2 linked regions of the Struthio camelus genome follow. The protein of the gene in region 2 binds, or shares a complex with, the protein of the main gene of each other region. Links are inferred from orthologs where the notes say so. Each region holds a gene or a part of one and is shown on either strand. Other genes may lie near its edges.

What was found.
Region 1: the proteins of TJP1 (region 2) and GJC1 are in contact, whole or in part, in a crystal structure (PDB 3SHW), measured with the Homo sapiens proteins. The link is inferred for Struthio camelus from reciprocal best matches to the Homo sapiens genes TJP1 and GJC1. Residues at the interface, in NP_003248.3 of Homo sapiens: Lys429, Ser432, Val433, Gly434, Leu435, Arg436, Leu437, Gly449, Val450, Leu451, Val484, Leu487, Leu488, Leu549, Asn551, Gly552, Lys553; in NP_001073852.1 of Homo sapiens: Lys391, Thr392, Ser393, Val394, Trp395, Ile396.

The regions. Positions count from the first base shown.
Region 1 is NC_090966.1:752,754-760,091, reverse strand, and holds the start of GJC1 (gap junction gamma-1 protein), read right to left. Parts: upstream 3,167-7,338; 5' UTR 3,059-3,166; intron 2,492-3,058; exon of another isoform or gene 828-2,491; intron 1-827. Other genes in the region: EFTUD2 (116 kDa U5 small nuclear ribonucleoprotein component), read right to left, coding at 7,098-7,193. UniProt on the Homo sapiens protein: One gap junction consists of a cluster of closely packed pairs of transmembrane channels, the connexons, through which materials of low MW diffuse from one cell to a neighboring cell.
Region 2 is NC_090953.1:18,420,186-18,428,226, forward strand, and holds the start of TJP1 (tight junction protein ZO-1), read left to right. Parts: upstream 1-4,805; 5' UTR 4,806-4,811; coding exon 4,812-4,978; intron 4,979-8,041. UniProt on the Homo sapiens protein: TJP1, TJP2, and TJP3 are closely related scaffolding proteins that link tight junction (TJ) transmembrane proteins such as claudins, junctional adhesion molecules, and occludin to the actin cytoskeleton.

The sequences.
Region 1 (7,338 bases), on a different chromosome or scaffold from region 2:
AAACAGATGCTTTGCGATAATCGTCATTTATAATCATGCATTCAGACCTTTAAAGTAGCTTTTTTAACAACAAAAAACTTTTACGTTGCTGCACCAATTTAAAAAACATATATTTATTGTCAGTTTATTTAAATCAAAAGGTTTTCTATTACCAATAATTCAAGCTTTACTGAATCAGTGATAATATGATAGAACTTGCAATTTTACTCTATACTTTCACTATACTTTTACTATACTCTATACCTTTAATATATAATAAATAATAATAAATAATATAATAAATAATACTAAAAAAGTATTAGAGGTAGTCACTTTAACAAGAGTACAGCCAGTCATTAATTTTTTTTAATAACTTTTCAAAATTTAAGCTGATTTGAAACATGACAAAGCCGGTTTTAAAAAGCCACTGCAAGGATAAGAGAAGCTGGGTGATAAACAGAAGAATCTGTAACAAATAGTAACTGAACACATTTTCAATATGGTTGAAAAAAGTGAGATGCTCTTGTAAAATAAGTTTCATTTTAATCAACACAAGCCTTCAAACATATCTGCCAAAACTTATTATAATATGTTCATCCTTCTGTTTTGCCCAATCCTTTGCCATTTCAATTCAGAAAATGCTTACAGTCAAGGTACAGTTGTTCAAAAGAGAAAGACACTGCAAAAGGATCATTCTTACAAGGAACCGTAAAAATATTTCCAGGACAGATCTCCAAACTCAGTATAAAACTCAGCCACAGCACATGGCCATTGTGCCCAGCCTCAACGCGCAATCAACCAGCTTCAATGCACCTGAACTTTTGCTCTGAGCCCTGTAATTTCCTTACCTTGCCTTCTTCTCAACTACAGACATGGTAGAAAACCTCTGGCCATAAAAGGATCAGAGCCGGCTCCCAAATCTTGTGTTTCAGGTTATCTGCACTTACATGCTGTAAGTCACTGCATTCAAAGTACTCTTCCCTGGCTTCAAACACCAAGATCATCTCCTAGTTATGAGCTTTTACCACTGACCAGTGAGTGGAGAACAACTGATGCTATGCAGCCTGCGCATTCGTCAGACACAGAAAACATGTAATAGTACACCCCACCCACTGTCAACCCCCTGAGATCTGTTTCAGTTATGAGAACATACGAGGAGAAACACATATTGTCCCCTCTTTCTTATTCAGAGCTGCGGAAATGCTGAAGTTAATTTTAGGATTTCTGCAAATGCAGAACTTTCAGCTGTTTGTAGTCACATGGAAGGAATAAGGAATGGCATAATAATGCTCAAATTACTTGTAAATCTGTAATTTTCTTAAAAAAAATTCTTACATATCTGGCTTCGTATAGGAGATCGGAGCTTATTTGTTCCCCCAGGAAAACACAAGCGTAACTTTAACATATTCTGGGAAAGAATAAAAGATAAGGAGAATAGCATCTTCCATTTCCTTAAACACAAGTCTTGACAGAAAACAATGGCTTTCCTCTTCTAAATAATCTGAATAAAGGAAAGGTGGATTTCAGTAACTGATTCACACAGCTGATTCACTGAACATCAGTGTGAAATAGATTTCTGACCCAAAGGAAGAGAATTTTTTCTGCTAGTTCTCCTTTACTTACAGTGCGCAGAAAACATAGAAATACAGAGAACAAGAATAATCAATTGTCAAATGCATGGTTTTTGTTTTCCCCTCACCAAAGTGAGGCCTAACAGAAGCCAAAACTTTCATAACAAAATTACCATGAGCTGACAGAGGGGCAGAATGTTTCTCCTAGTACTCTGTGTCTTCAGACTGACCACACAGCAGTGTCAAATTGCACTGCTGCAGCTGAAGTTCGGTTGACATGGGGTTAACTTAGAATATCAACAGTAGTATAAGCATTTACTTGCACAAAGTAAATACACAGAGCTCATAACGAGCTACTGATTTCTAACCTTTAAAATCTTTAACTGTGGACTGAATGCTCACAGATCAAATCAAGCTCTGGGATCTGCCAAGCACCATCCTGCCAGACTGAGGGAGCGAAATGGCACTGCAGCCTTTCTAAAAGATAACTACACAGCTTTTACTCATAGATGCTCAGATATGAGGCTGTGTCTCTTAAAGAAAAAAATACCTGTTACATGGAACTAACACTTGCATCATACAAAGCAGGAAATTTTAGTATTGGATTGGTAAAAACGCTGAAGAGTCTTAACTACCAGCACCCAGGATATTTCTCTCTAATAGCAAAAAGCTGTAAATAGGTATTTTATTTCTTCATTTCGGAAGAACACACTAGAAATAGCCATGACTAAAAGCAAGCGCCACCAACCCGAGACCCAACTGCGCCCCAAACCAGTCTCCGGCGACGGCGAGAGCCCATCGCGGCCGCCCAGCTCCCTCGTACGCGGCGCCGGCCGCACGGCGGGCTGCGCCCCGCCGGGCAAGTTGGGAAGGACAAAGACGACGGCTCCGGCCGCGGGGACGCGCGGGCACGGCTGCCCCACGGCTCAGGCTCAGCGCGTTTCCCCCCCAGGGTCCGTCCCCAGCCGCCAGCCCACGGCAGACGCTTGACATAGGCACGACCGGCAGCCAGCGCGGGGCCTGCCGGCTCCGGGGCGGCGGAGGGCGCGCGGCCCCGCGGCAGCTCCCTCAGCCCCCGCCTCGCCCCAGCGGCCGCTCGGTCTCCTCAGCCTCCCCCCGGCCCAGCGGCCGCTCCGTCCCCTCAGCCCGCGCCTCGCCCCAGCTCCCTCAGCCTCCCCCCGGCCCAGCGGCCGCTCCGTCCCCTCAGCCCGCGCCTCGCCCCAGCTCCCTCAGCCTCCCCCCGGCTCAGCGGCCGCTCCGTCCCCTCAGCCCCCGCCTCGCCCCGGCTCAGCGGCCGCTCCGTCCCCTCAGCCCCCCGCCCCCTCAGCCCAACGGCCGCTCCGTCCCCTCAGCCCCCCGCCCCCTCAGCCCAACGGCCGTTCGGCCGCCGCCTCCCCTCAGCCCCGGGCTGGCGCGGGAAGTTTCCCTCGCGGTGCCCCCTCAGAGCAGCTGGGAGGGTCGGTCCCGGCTCCGGTCTCGGTCCGCGGACTCCCGCCCTCCTCACTCACGCCGCCGCCGCTGCCCCCCGCGGCTCCAGCGCATGATCCCGGCGGAGCCCCGCAGCCTCCCCTCGGCTGCCCACGCGCGCCGCCGCGGCGGGCTCGCCGACCGCTGCCCCCAACCGGGGAGGGGGCGCGGGGCGCATGCGCGCAGCCCCCCCCCCCCCCAACCCGGCGCAGCGCGCGGGAGCCCCGCGCAGGCGGCCCCGCCGGCGGCGGCGGTACGCGCGGCGCGAGGACCCGGCCGCCACGTGCCGCGGCGCGCGCGGGCCGCCGGGCGCCGCCCCCACGCGTGGCGCGCGCCCGCGCCGAGGAAACGTTTTCTGCAAAGCGGCGCCGCGTGGCCTGCAGGCCTGGCGCTGCGCACGATGCACCTGCAAGCGTCACAAGCCGCACGGGCCTGGGCGTGCTGCGCACCCCTGTGCACCCCGCCGAGTGAGCCTCGTTGCAGGAGCCGTGGCAAACCTGCCGGGGCTGGCAAGGAGCTCGGTGCCTGAGGGGAACGCGTCCACCCCTTGCACCGGGAGCGGGGCAGGCCGGGCAGGCCTGGTGGTGCAGGCGCCGCCACGCTTGTTAGCTTTGCGCCTCTCTGTGACAGCCTCGCTGGCAGGGCATCCCCAGGCTCCCCGGCTCGAGCTGCGCCCTCTGTCATCACTCCATCGGCAGCTGGTCCCCAGCTGCCCTTCCTGGGTGCTTTGGGTGCTGCCGTGGCCACGTGCCCCAGGTACAGCCTGGGTGCGTACCTCTATATACACCCTGTGCACAACCCTAAGTACGACCCTGCGTGCACCTCTGGCTGCGACCTGTGGCCAGAACGTGGGGTCACCTGCCAGCATGGGGTCGCCCCCGAAAGCAGGCTGCTGGAGAGCCATGCCTGGACGGATGGGGGCGTTCGCTGCTGGCTCCCGCTGCTGAGCCCTGGCCAGCTCATGCCAAGGATAGATCCCGCTCCCCTGGCAAGCCTGGAAACCAAGGCAGGGGAGGGCCTGCGGCTGCCAGCACTCTGCTGACTCCACGTGCTGGGGCGCAGGGAGGGTTTCCCAGCATCTTTCCAGCCAGGGGCGAGAAGAGGCAAAGGGCGAAATGGTTTTGCTAAAACACTGGCTTCGAGCTTATCCCTGCGTGCCTGGAGCGAACGCCAAGGAGGTCGCTGCTGCGAGCCTGCGGCCTGCAAGCAAGGATCAGCCACCAGGCGAATTCCAGCCCGGCCCAACGAGGCCGTGGGGTCAGGGCATTTCCCAGGGACTGGCCGTTTCCACGGAAAATTCCCAGCCGGCTCAGCAGGGTGGCTCTTGCGGCGTCACGGCTGCGAGCGCTCGCATGGCCGCTTATCTCCCCGCTCAGGCCCCCGGGTGCCGTGGGTCAGCGTTTTCCAGCCGCGCTTGCCCGCGCCGGCCGCTGGGAACGGCCTGCGTGAGAACCAGCTCCCTTCCCACGGCCGCCGAGACTGCTGCTCCAAGGAGCTGAGCCACATCCTGGCGCCCAGCCGGGGTGTAAATAGGTGCCGATGCTCCTATCGGCAGCAGGAGGGGGCTGAGCCTCCCCAGCCGGACTGCGACGAGGACGTGGTGCTGGGTCGGACGCGGGCAGCGCTGGGGCACCTCCTGGAGCTGCCCCACAGGAAAAGGCTGAGCAAAGAGATAGGGCTGGAGCCCCCCCCCAGCCGCCCCTATGCCGCTAGCCCACCCGCAGGCCACCGGTTCGAGCCCACCTGCTGCACGGATGCGATGGGGCAGCGCATCCTCCCAGGTGTGCCCGGCCAGGCTTTTGTTCACGGGCAGCGGCAGGAAATGCTTTCCTGCTGGTTTCCAAACCCTGCTGAATTATCCCATGCAATACTCTTTCCGTGGGCTGGCAGGATGCTTTTCCATGGGGCTGCTTCCTTTCCAGGGCTTCTCCATGCCTCTGTGAGCCCAGGCCTGCTGGAAACTGGGAGGCACTAGGCCACAGTGCCCTACATCGCCCTACAGCTGCCAGCTGCTGTGAGAGGGTTGGGGAAGGTCTCAGCTGCACCTTCAGGTACCTACAGCTCTGCTGCGGTGCTGCACACTGCCATGAGCCATCCCGAGCCCATCTCCGAGCAGGGATGCTCTGCGGCAAGCTGCGCTTTGGCTAACCCTTAGAGGCATCTCTGGGACTGGAGCATGATGGATGCGTGTGCTGGCAGCACACAGGCTGCTACAGCCGAATCCAGTACATCACACCGAGAAACATCATCAGCCCCTCGGCACTGACTCGGGGCAGCCTTTAAGCTGGGGCTGTGTACAAGGACTGACCCCTGTCTCTTCCTGGGCACTGCAGCCAAAGCCAGCCCTGAATCCCCAGGCTCTCCCAGCGGCTGACCAGCGCCAAGCTGCGCTCCCATAGCACCAAAATGGTGGTGGAGGGATGGTGGCAAGAAGACACAAAAGAGGATGCTTCTTGGGTTGAAAAAAAAACCCCAGCATGTGGAAATCCCAGTTTTGCCCCTAGCACAGACTCTGCGGCTGCTCTCACTGAGGTCTTCGGTCCCAGAGAGCCTCCATCCTCCTCTGTAAGGCCCTATACCCTTTGAGATGATTGCCCTGGGCCCTACAGGAGTTTAACAGCCGTGAGATACGAAGACCACAGTTGTGTCCAGACTGGCTCCTGTTCAGCTGGGAGCCCTGTGGACCTCCAGCCCCACGGCAGGGGGCTGAGCACCCTGGCTGTCTCAGCCTGAGCCCATGCTCGGGACGTGCCCAGCTCAGACCACCCGCAAGCAGCCTACATGCTGGATGGTGGATCCCAGGCAAGGGCCACAGGCTCAAGTCAATTTGGGAAGAGCCTTAGAGGTGCTGCAGGGCAGCTGCCCCTTGGGAGCAGCGCCAGGAGGCAGAGAGCACAGCAAGGTCCCAGAGCAGAGCCTGGATTTACAGCACACAGCTATCAGGGAGAGCCTCATGGGCCGCAGGGGCCAGGGACATTCCGTATTAGCCTCTTTACACCTAGCAGCATAGTCCACGCACTAAACCTCCCCCTACTTTCACAGCACAGGTTGGGGAGCAGACAAGGGGCTGAGTTAGCCAGGGAGCAGAGCAGGGAGCTAAGATAGGGGAGAGAGAGAGCACGAAAAGCCTTTCAGACCGTGGGCAGCTAATGGAATGCCCTGAAAACAGAGTTGCAGCCCCAAAAACAGTGAGAAAGGAAGAAAATCTGAGTACGGGACCAGGCAGGATGGTCTGGACTGGCTGGTCAATTAGCTACTGTAAGCAGGACATGAGAGCTGGGTCAGAATTGCTGCTGGATGCGGAGCACCTGTGGAGTGGTATGGCAGTGCCAGGAGCAGCAGGATCGGGGGCAGCAGCAAAGGCAGGGGAATCATGGCAATGGCTGCCCACTCTAAGCACCAGTGAAGGCAGAGCCTCTCCCAGCCCTCTGGTCCCTCAGAGTGACCACACAGAGCCCTGGCTGGAAGTTTGTATTAAACGTTTACAAGGGCTCAGAAAAACTTGTACAAAAAAGGTAAAATCCAGACTTCCCATTTCTCCTGGGAAGGCTGGTGGGAGCACATCCCCACAAAAAACAGCATTTTCCCCTTCCTCAAGCTGCCATAAGACATGCTCGGCTCAAGGCAAAATACCCCACTGGCAGCCAGGAGAGCGGGGCAGCGTTATCAGAAGCACGTACAGGGGCTGACCCCAGCTCAGATGCTTGACATACGTTTACACTCTGTCCCTAGTAATCTTAACATTATATTCAGGCTGCTCTGCAGCAGCAGGGGCCACACAAGGAATAACACATGTGCCTGAAGAGAGCATGTCCAAAGGGAAAACCTCCTCGCTGGAGGCCACCATTGCTGAATACTAGTAATACAAAACACATCCTTGCTCTGGGTTGCTCCTTACCCAGGGCCTGCGAATACCCAGGCAGGGAGACTTCAGCCATGGAGGAGCGATCTGAGGAGCAGTTCCCTGCCTACCAGGAGCATCCAGAAGCCCGGGCTGGGCAAGCAGGGATGGGGAAGAGCAGGCAGATGTCATCCAGGACTCAGGTCAGCCCTCACGATGCAGCAGCTGATGCAGCATGTTCACATGGGATAGTTGAGAACAACATCTTGCTTGGCCAGCTCCAGCAACATGGGGTCGTCGAAGAACTTGCTGATGCTCACGTCCTCACTCAAGCCCTGCGGAGTAATTGCAAAGCCCGAGGTAAGTGCTTATGGAGCAGGCAGCACCTGTGCAGCCACCCTGGCAGAGACCCCATTGAAAAGCCCTGATGTCCTGTAGTAAGAGCAATTCTTGGACTCCAGGAGAGGCAGGCAAATTTGC
Region 2 (8,041 bases):
AGAGTTTTTTTGTTTTGTTTTGTTTTGTTTTGTTTTGTTTTACAGACCATGTAGCTTATACAGGTTTGCTGAACAAAATGAACTATAGCAATAAAACAGAGTATTTTTGATTGTTCACAAGCACAGCTCTGCCAGCTAGAGGTGGGGTTTCTTTTTCCTCATATTATTGCAAAAAAATTACATTATCTGAAAGACCTTTCAGTGTAGCCTAGACCTTAAGAAGTGCATTTCTGTAATGTCTCAAAAGAGTCTTTTGAGTCAGGCCTAAATTTCTTCTCCTCATGTGATCTCAGTCAAGACTGCGTGATGCAGGTAACATGTGGAAAGGGGTGGCTCCTAGTGACAGCTGGCACTGTGGGGATGTGTTATGTGTTAATGGTAAAGGAAAGAAAGTCGAGAGTTTTACTGTCCCTTTTATTCCAACAGGCTTACTGAAACCAGCTCTTCTAAAAACAGCAATAGATAATACTGTAAAATTTTCCTTTTAAGTACCTTGAATCTCATATATATTCTAGCGATATTCAGATTGAAAAAATGAGAGGTGCAACTCAGGGAGAACAGAGCTTTAGGCCACAATTATACTCCCTTACTCTTAGCTGCTCTGCAGCTGATGGGAGCCCTCAGTTGCTCTACGTCATAGCTAGCCACTCTCCTACAGCTGACAATAGCCTACTCTCCAGCTAGAATAAACATATTATCATGACTGCAGTTTGGGTCAAAGACACATTTATTTAGGTATAACAGTCATACTGAAGAAACTCCTTTTGTAACTCATAAATGTCTAGACAGAGGAGTCTGTTCTTTCAGAGCCAAGAAGTGTACAGGAAGGTCATAGCAGGGGCAGGCTTCACAAGAGACAAGGGCAACAGAGATTGTAAGCAACAGACTATAGAGTTTGTTGTGAAGTAAAGCATACAGTTAATTTACCTGAGCAAATAAAATTAAGAAATGAATAGGGCTCTGCTTGTTTTTGTACTGAAAAAACTCCTATGAATCAACTATATTAACCTGAAGTAATCTAATAGGAATTAAATTGTTTCTAAAACGCATGCTATGTCTGAAAAAAATGTAAGCTGCTTTCAGCTTTATGACCTGTAGTGAAGGAGAGTGTATCTTGCCAGACAGAACGAGTCTGTACAGAGAACAGTAAATATGCTCAGAGCATCTCCACTGCAGGGATAGCTACCGTATAAATTCTGGCCATAGCTCAGCTACGGGGCCGCACAAGCCTCGGAGGTAACAGTGGGATGTTTGGATACTTACCCTAATCGGGAAGCTGCTGATTGACTGCTGTTAAAAATAGGCAGTTCATCTGAAAGACAAGAAAAACAGGATCTTTTTACTCTTTCAGCTATATAGAAGATCTGTGCTTAAAACAGGATGCCCTGAAAGGAGGCATATAATGGAGCAGCACTAAGACAGAGCAGGTATGACAGAAACAGAAGAGGAATTAAAATTAGAGGATAACATGTCTTCATGAATATCTGGTTTTGTCTCTACAATATGCATCAAGGAGTATGATGATGATACATAAAACTGACAAAACCAATTAATAAGTTAGTCTCAGATTAACAGAGTATGATCAATGAAAATGATAAGAGTTAAATCTGAAATAACTAATTATTTTGCAAATGTAAATAGAATTAGGAATTCCAATTTAAGTAAGAATGGGAATCAAATTATAGGCTCTTGAAGAAGGCGAGTAAAGACTGGAATATGCAGCCAGACTCCAACATAGAGTCTTCGTGCAAATTTTTGCCTGTGCATTTCTTAACTCCTTTGTACACAGATGCTGAAAAGAAATGCATGTTTCAACTCTGATACTGTAAAAATTGAAAAAGCCATGTTTTGGGCTCAGAGTCCCTTCATCAGGTAAGGAACTCCAAAAGCTTACCCGCTTCTTCCTGTTATATTAGCTTTCAAAGAAACTTTGCTTCCCTTGTATCCTTAGACCGCCTTATCTACAAAATTTCTAACACTATAACTCTATGAAAGTCTTACCATACGACTGCATTTTTCTTTCAATAATTTCTATATCAAATATGAAACAAGATTAATATATGTTTTTCTAACTGCTAGGTATCACATTCAAACTGAAATGTGAAATTCAAACAGTTTCAGTTATAATGCAGCTAACATTCTGCTATTGATGCCAAGAATAAAATCCAGCCCACACTCATTCTCCCACTACTTATGTGGGCACCATATATTTCTTCAGTCAGCTAATGACTGTGGATACACAGAAGAAGAAAGCAACATGTCAGTTTTACAGTTCTTCTTTCTAGTCACATTTTAAGGCAAAACAAATCTCTAAAGGTTTTCAGATTCATTTGATGATCTGTCTACAGAAGATATAGACTGTCCATTCAATATACCTCAAGCTTTAGCTACATTTAACCTTCCTAATGATTTCAAGTTGACTGACCCTCATTGTTTTTAATGCTCAATCTCTCAAAAGACAACCTGCAAAGAGTATCTTGAGAGCTAAAAATGAGCAAGCTTGTGTTGGGACATTGAGTTGGCATTTGAATTTTTAAATCATCTGTGACACAGAATTTCAGGACATTTCTATATATCTCCAGTTTCTTGACTGAAAAAACAGAACCGTCCAAGTCATTAACCATAGTAATACAATTACTATGATATGTTTCTAATTAGAATCTTTTGTGCTTACGAGTAACATATTGATCTTCTCTGTCTCCTGCTTAACAGACAGGTCTTTGGAGAATGTAGTCTACTACAGTCTTAGGTACATATTACCTATAAAAAAGGAAGAAAAATAATGAAATTCTAATCTTTGAGCCTTAAAGTGACAATGCTGTTCACAGTATTTTTCCTAGTTAACAGTGCCAGCTTAATTCATCCACTCTGAGTATTGCAATTCATACAATTTACATGATAGCATCTTCATGAAAACTTGTCACTTCTGTAAGGATTTGTTTATACCTGCATTCTGCAAAACGCATACATGCTGAAACAGTACTGGGGCTGCCAAAATGCCCCAGCCGGTATCAAAAGAGCTTAAACATCCCCTAGTCTTTGATAACCTTGGGAGGAGGCAACAGAACTTTAGGCACTGAAACTTTTGACACTCAACTGCCATTTCTCACCAGAAGCATCAGAACAACTTCTATAGCACAACTCGAAAAAAGTTTTACCTGTTTTAGCAGGTTTACCATGTTATTTTAGATGTTTTGTATGTGGGTTAAGCATAATTTGAAACTTTCTGTTCGAGTACGAATTCACCATGCTGCCTTTACCCAAAGTATTTCCCACTACTATTGATCAATGTGTCAGCTAAGTGCTATCCTTCACTTCAGTGATGTTTGTACTGTAGCGGATTTCTTTGATCTTATTGTAGTATGGTTTAGAGTGAATCCTGAATGCACTTGTCAAAAACCATGACCACCTATGGCTCTTAATACTGGACTTTAGGAGAAAGGCGCGAAACAGATTAATGCTGTAACGATAATTCAGTGTCGCACCTACGGCCACTACACACTTATGTTTTCAGCTATTTTTGTCACAGTAGCCAGGAGGCAGGCACCCACCTAGAAAACATTTAATATTTTTAGTTTGATTTAATCACCATCTGATTTCCAAACACACGTTAGTTGTTTTTCTCATGTGAAAGAAGAGGGAATGATGTTTATGTCGTCTTGCCAGTAGACTCACTAGGCTTTGCACGTGCGACTTCACAACCCAGTCACTTAGGGGAGGTGCGGAGGAGGGTGCCGCAGTGGGGAGCTGCTCTCCAGCCACCTCACACCCGGAGTCTTTTCTGAAGGTGGCTTGGCTGGTGGCACGGCTCCCGCTGCAGCGCTGGCCTGCTGGCCCATCCTGGCTGCCTCCACACCTCACCTCCTGCTCAGACCCTTGCTCCCCTCACGCTCATCCTCACCTCACCTCGCCTTCAGATTGCCTCATCGTCACCTCGCCTCACCTTCGGGCTACCTCAGCCTCACCTCACCTTCTTCCTCACCTCGCCTTCCTCCTCTCCTCAGCTCGCCTCTGTTCTCGTCGTCTCATCTCACCTTCGTCCTCACCTCACTCTCACCTTCCCTTCATCTCCACACTCACCTCAACTTCCTCCTCCCCTCACCTTAACCTGGCCTTCACCCCACCTCGCCTCGCCTCGCCTCGCCTCGCCTCGCCTCCGCGCCCGCCCCGCCGCTCACCTCGCCTCGCGCCGGGGCTCAGCGGGGCCCTCGCCGCCCCCGGGGCCGCCCCCGGTGCGGGGGCGCTCGCCTCCGCAGCCCGGCACAGCTGACCCAGGGGCGGCCGCGCCAGCGGCGGGCGCGGCGTGAAGACTGCGATAAAGCGGGGCTATTCTAGGCGCTAATGGGATGAGCGGCGCGGCGGGCTGCGGCATGGCGCCGCTCTGATGGCGGGCGGGAGGGCCGGGCCGGGCCGCGCGGCCGCAGGTAACGGGCGCGGCGGGCCCGCTCGTGCGGGGGGAGGGGCGGGCCGGGCCGGGCTGCGGGAGGCGGCGCAGGTGAGGGGCGACGGGCCGGGGCCGGGGCGAGGAGCGGGAGCGGGAGGCGGCGCGGGGGGAGGGCTGGGCGCGGGAGCGAGGCGGGAGGAGGAGGAGAGCGTCAGGCGGAGCAGGGATGGAGGGAGCGCGGCGGGGGGCGGAGGAGGAGAGCGTCAGCTGGGGGCAGAGATAGAGGGAGTGCGGCAGGAGGAGGAGGAGAGGAGCGTGAGCTGGGGGGGCAGAGGCAGAGGGAGCGCGGCAGGAGGAGGAGGAGGAGGAGGGGAAGAAGCGCGACGCAGGGACGGCAGATGCCTGGAAATAAAAATTTGATGATTGCATGCAGCGGCTGGAGAGACTCTGTCGGTGGCGGCGGCGGGGACGAGGCAGGGACAGGGGGGGCGACGGCAAAATGAAGTATCAGAAATACCTGACTGTCTTGCAGATGGCCATAGGGGTGACCGCCTCCAACCGGGGCAGTCTGATGCCCTTAAAGAGGAAGCTGTGGTGAGTAGGCACGGCAGGGGCCGGCGGCACTGCGGGCCGGGGCGGCGGGCGGCGGCGGCGGCCGCGGGGCTTTTTCCTGACAGGAATAACGGCTGCGCGGGCAGCGGCGCGCTGGAAATCCGGCCCGGCGCCGCGGCAGAGCGGGCCTCGGGCGCCCGGCCGCATCTCCCCGGCGGAAAGTTGGTGGCGGATCCAGCGATGGGGCTGGGGCGGCGGCGGCGGGGGCGAGACGCTGCCCGGGCGCCCGCCATCGCGGGCTGCAGCGCGGCCGGCGGCGCGGCGCTCCCGCCCGCCCGGCCCTCCTGGCGGCTGCCAGGCCCCTCGAGGAAGGCGCGTTGTCAGGCGCTTGCCGGAGCGCGGCGGCGGCCCCGGTGTTCCCGCTGAGCGCGGTGCCTCCCCCGCGCTGCCCGGCGGCTGCCGCCCGGCAGGTGCGCTTGAGGCGGCGCGCCACGGACAACACGCTTTCGCCGCCTTCCCGCTGGTTTTGTGCTTGCTGGTGGGGGGCGCTGAACTGGCGCCCGGCGGTGGAGGGCCGGCTGTGGCAGCCCCCCCGGCAGCGGCGGGACGCGCGTCCGCGGCAGCGCTGACAGCGGGGGGGAAATGTGGGAACTGGCCGCGTCTTCTGGAGGGGGAAGCAGCGAGAGCGTTTCTACACGGGGTGGTGGTGGTGGTGGTGGTGGTGGTGGTGGTCCTGCGGTTCCCTGTCGCTGCCCTTGTGCGTCCGCGTAGGGAGCGGGGTGTCAGCGAAGGGGCGAGAGCCCTGCTGCTTAGACGGGGTCACTCACGAGTGGAAGGATGTCCGTGGCAGCGACGGCAGCACATGCGGATCTTCCATGCGCTGCCCGATTGGGGTTTTTTTTCATGTTATCAGCCGGCGTAGACAATGTCAAGGAAATACAATTGAAGAAACAATGTGGAACTAATAAGCTGCCTGATATTCATTCCAAACCTTGATGTATTACTTGCAGAAAATAAAACGACTGGACATATCCTATTCATATTAACTGTAACATACAAAATCAAATCTAGTCCTAAACAAAAATATGCTGTCATGCAGATAACTTCTATTACCTTTAATCGAATCAAAGGATTTTAGACTGTACTCAGTGCTTTGATTTTGATTATGTAAGTTACATAAAGTGCTACTACCCTACCTCTCTTATTCTCCTAAAGTGACATTCCTGTCAGTGCGCAGCAGTGTGCGTGTTGATATATTATTTCTTTTAATATTTGAATTGTGTAACACAGTGCTAGCTCTTGTGCCATATCGTATTTCCTCTGTCTTCTTGGAAATGTCGTCTTTGCTGACAAATTAAAGTGAAACTATCGATATTTGCGCACTTTAAAAAGTAAGTCTGGAAGGACCTGATACAACTCCCACTTGATGCCTTCAGTTGGAATGTAATCAGCTCTGTATTGCCTAGTTTCATGGTGAGATTCTGTGCTTTTTGAGGGATATCAAAACACTGTAATGGATCCCAAATAATACATGCTATAAGCACTGAATGTCTTAACATTTGTAGCTTGTCTTCGTGTTATTACAATGCTGTGCTGTATACAGATTTAAATGACTTAAGTGTTAGGGATAAATAAGATAAATTTTTTTTGCAGTAGAGATCTATATGAATTACTTAAGCATTTGAGAGTGTGTCTATGGGATATTTTTATTAATAGGTGACATGATATTATGTAGTCACATTTTCTTAGGGAACTTGGATAGCATTATCTGCATAGGTAGAATTTATGCTTGTGGATGAAATAGTATTTTTTTCTGATGCATTTAGAGAAATGCGTAAGGATAATTTGTCATGGCTTTTTTTTATTTGCTTTTAGTCTGTATGTATACTGTTCTTAATGCACACATTAAAGAAAAGCAAATAATAGGGAGGTGAGTATATTTTTATGACTAAAATCAAGGCAACATAGTGTATATTGCCAGCCCGGAAAGCAAAGATTTGTTCCAATGCCATATCACTGGGAACCTCCAAAATACATAAAGAAAATACATAAATCAAGTCAGCTTGCAATCAGAGGATGCTAAGACTTTATTTTTATTTATTTAAAAAAAAAAAAGAATGATGGCCATTCAGATTCGTAAGTTGCTTGATGTGTTAGTACATATTGTAAGTGGAAGCAAAACATATAATTTAATAAAAAAGGTTTAAAATACTTTTTGTTGGTGGAGATAATCCACCTGAATCCTACTGAATGAAAATGAAAAAGGTAGCAGCGATGGTCTATTTCTTTATAGAGCATCTGCCACTCTAATTTCCTCTGACTTGCCCTCCAAAATGTGAGTCCTGTTCTCTGATTTACCAAAGCACAGCTACAAATCAAAACAAAAAAGATGGACCCTGATTGGTATAAACTAGCTGGGAATAAAACGAACAGAAAATTGGACAAAAAAGGAAGGAAGCTGTGCCCTGGGCTTGCAGCTGGAAGTGCTGGAGCCAGAAACTTAACTGTGTTTAATGTGGAGTTTGATCATTTTATGAAGAGGTTTACCTGGTGTAGTAGAGTTCTGCGCTCGGTGATCAGGGAAGTTGCTGGAGTCCCGATTTGCTGATTCAGACCCTGTTCGGTGTCTATGTTGTAATCTAATATGTAGAAACCAGAAATGAGATGAGTAGGATGTTTTTAATCTTACTGCAGAGTTTAACAAGTCAGTAAGCTGTCTTCAGGGCACGAGTCGCCTTCCAGATCAGGGCAGAGACAACATGAGAAGCTTGCACTATTTCTGTCTATTTTGTACCTGTTTTCTGCACAGACAATTTTCTTTTCTGAGGTTGTCCAATAACGTTTCTTAGCAGCACTGCCTTTATTTTCTCTACAATAGAGTGTTACCTGGTTCATTATATTTAAAACAGTTGTCAGAGGTGTGTAACTAGTACTTTCCTTCAGAACTTCTGTTTTCCTGTTTGGAAATAGAATATTTTATAGAGTTTTGTAAGTTGTGAAACCTTTATTTTGACATTGAGCTTTGGCTACGCCAGTTACTAGAGAAACCAAATTAAGAAGAGGAATGTGGCAATTCACACCTGAAAAATTGTATGACAGTCCCTT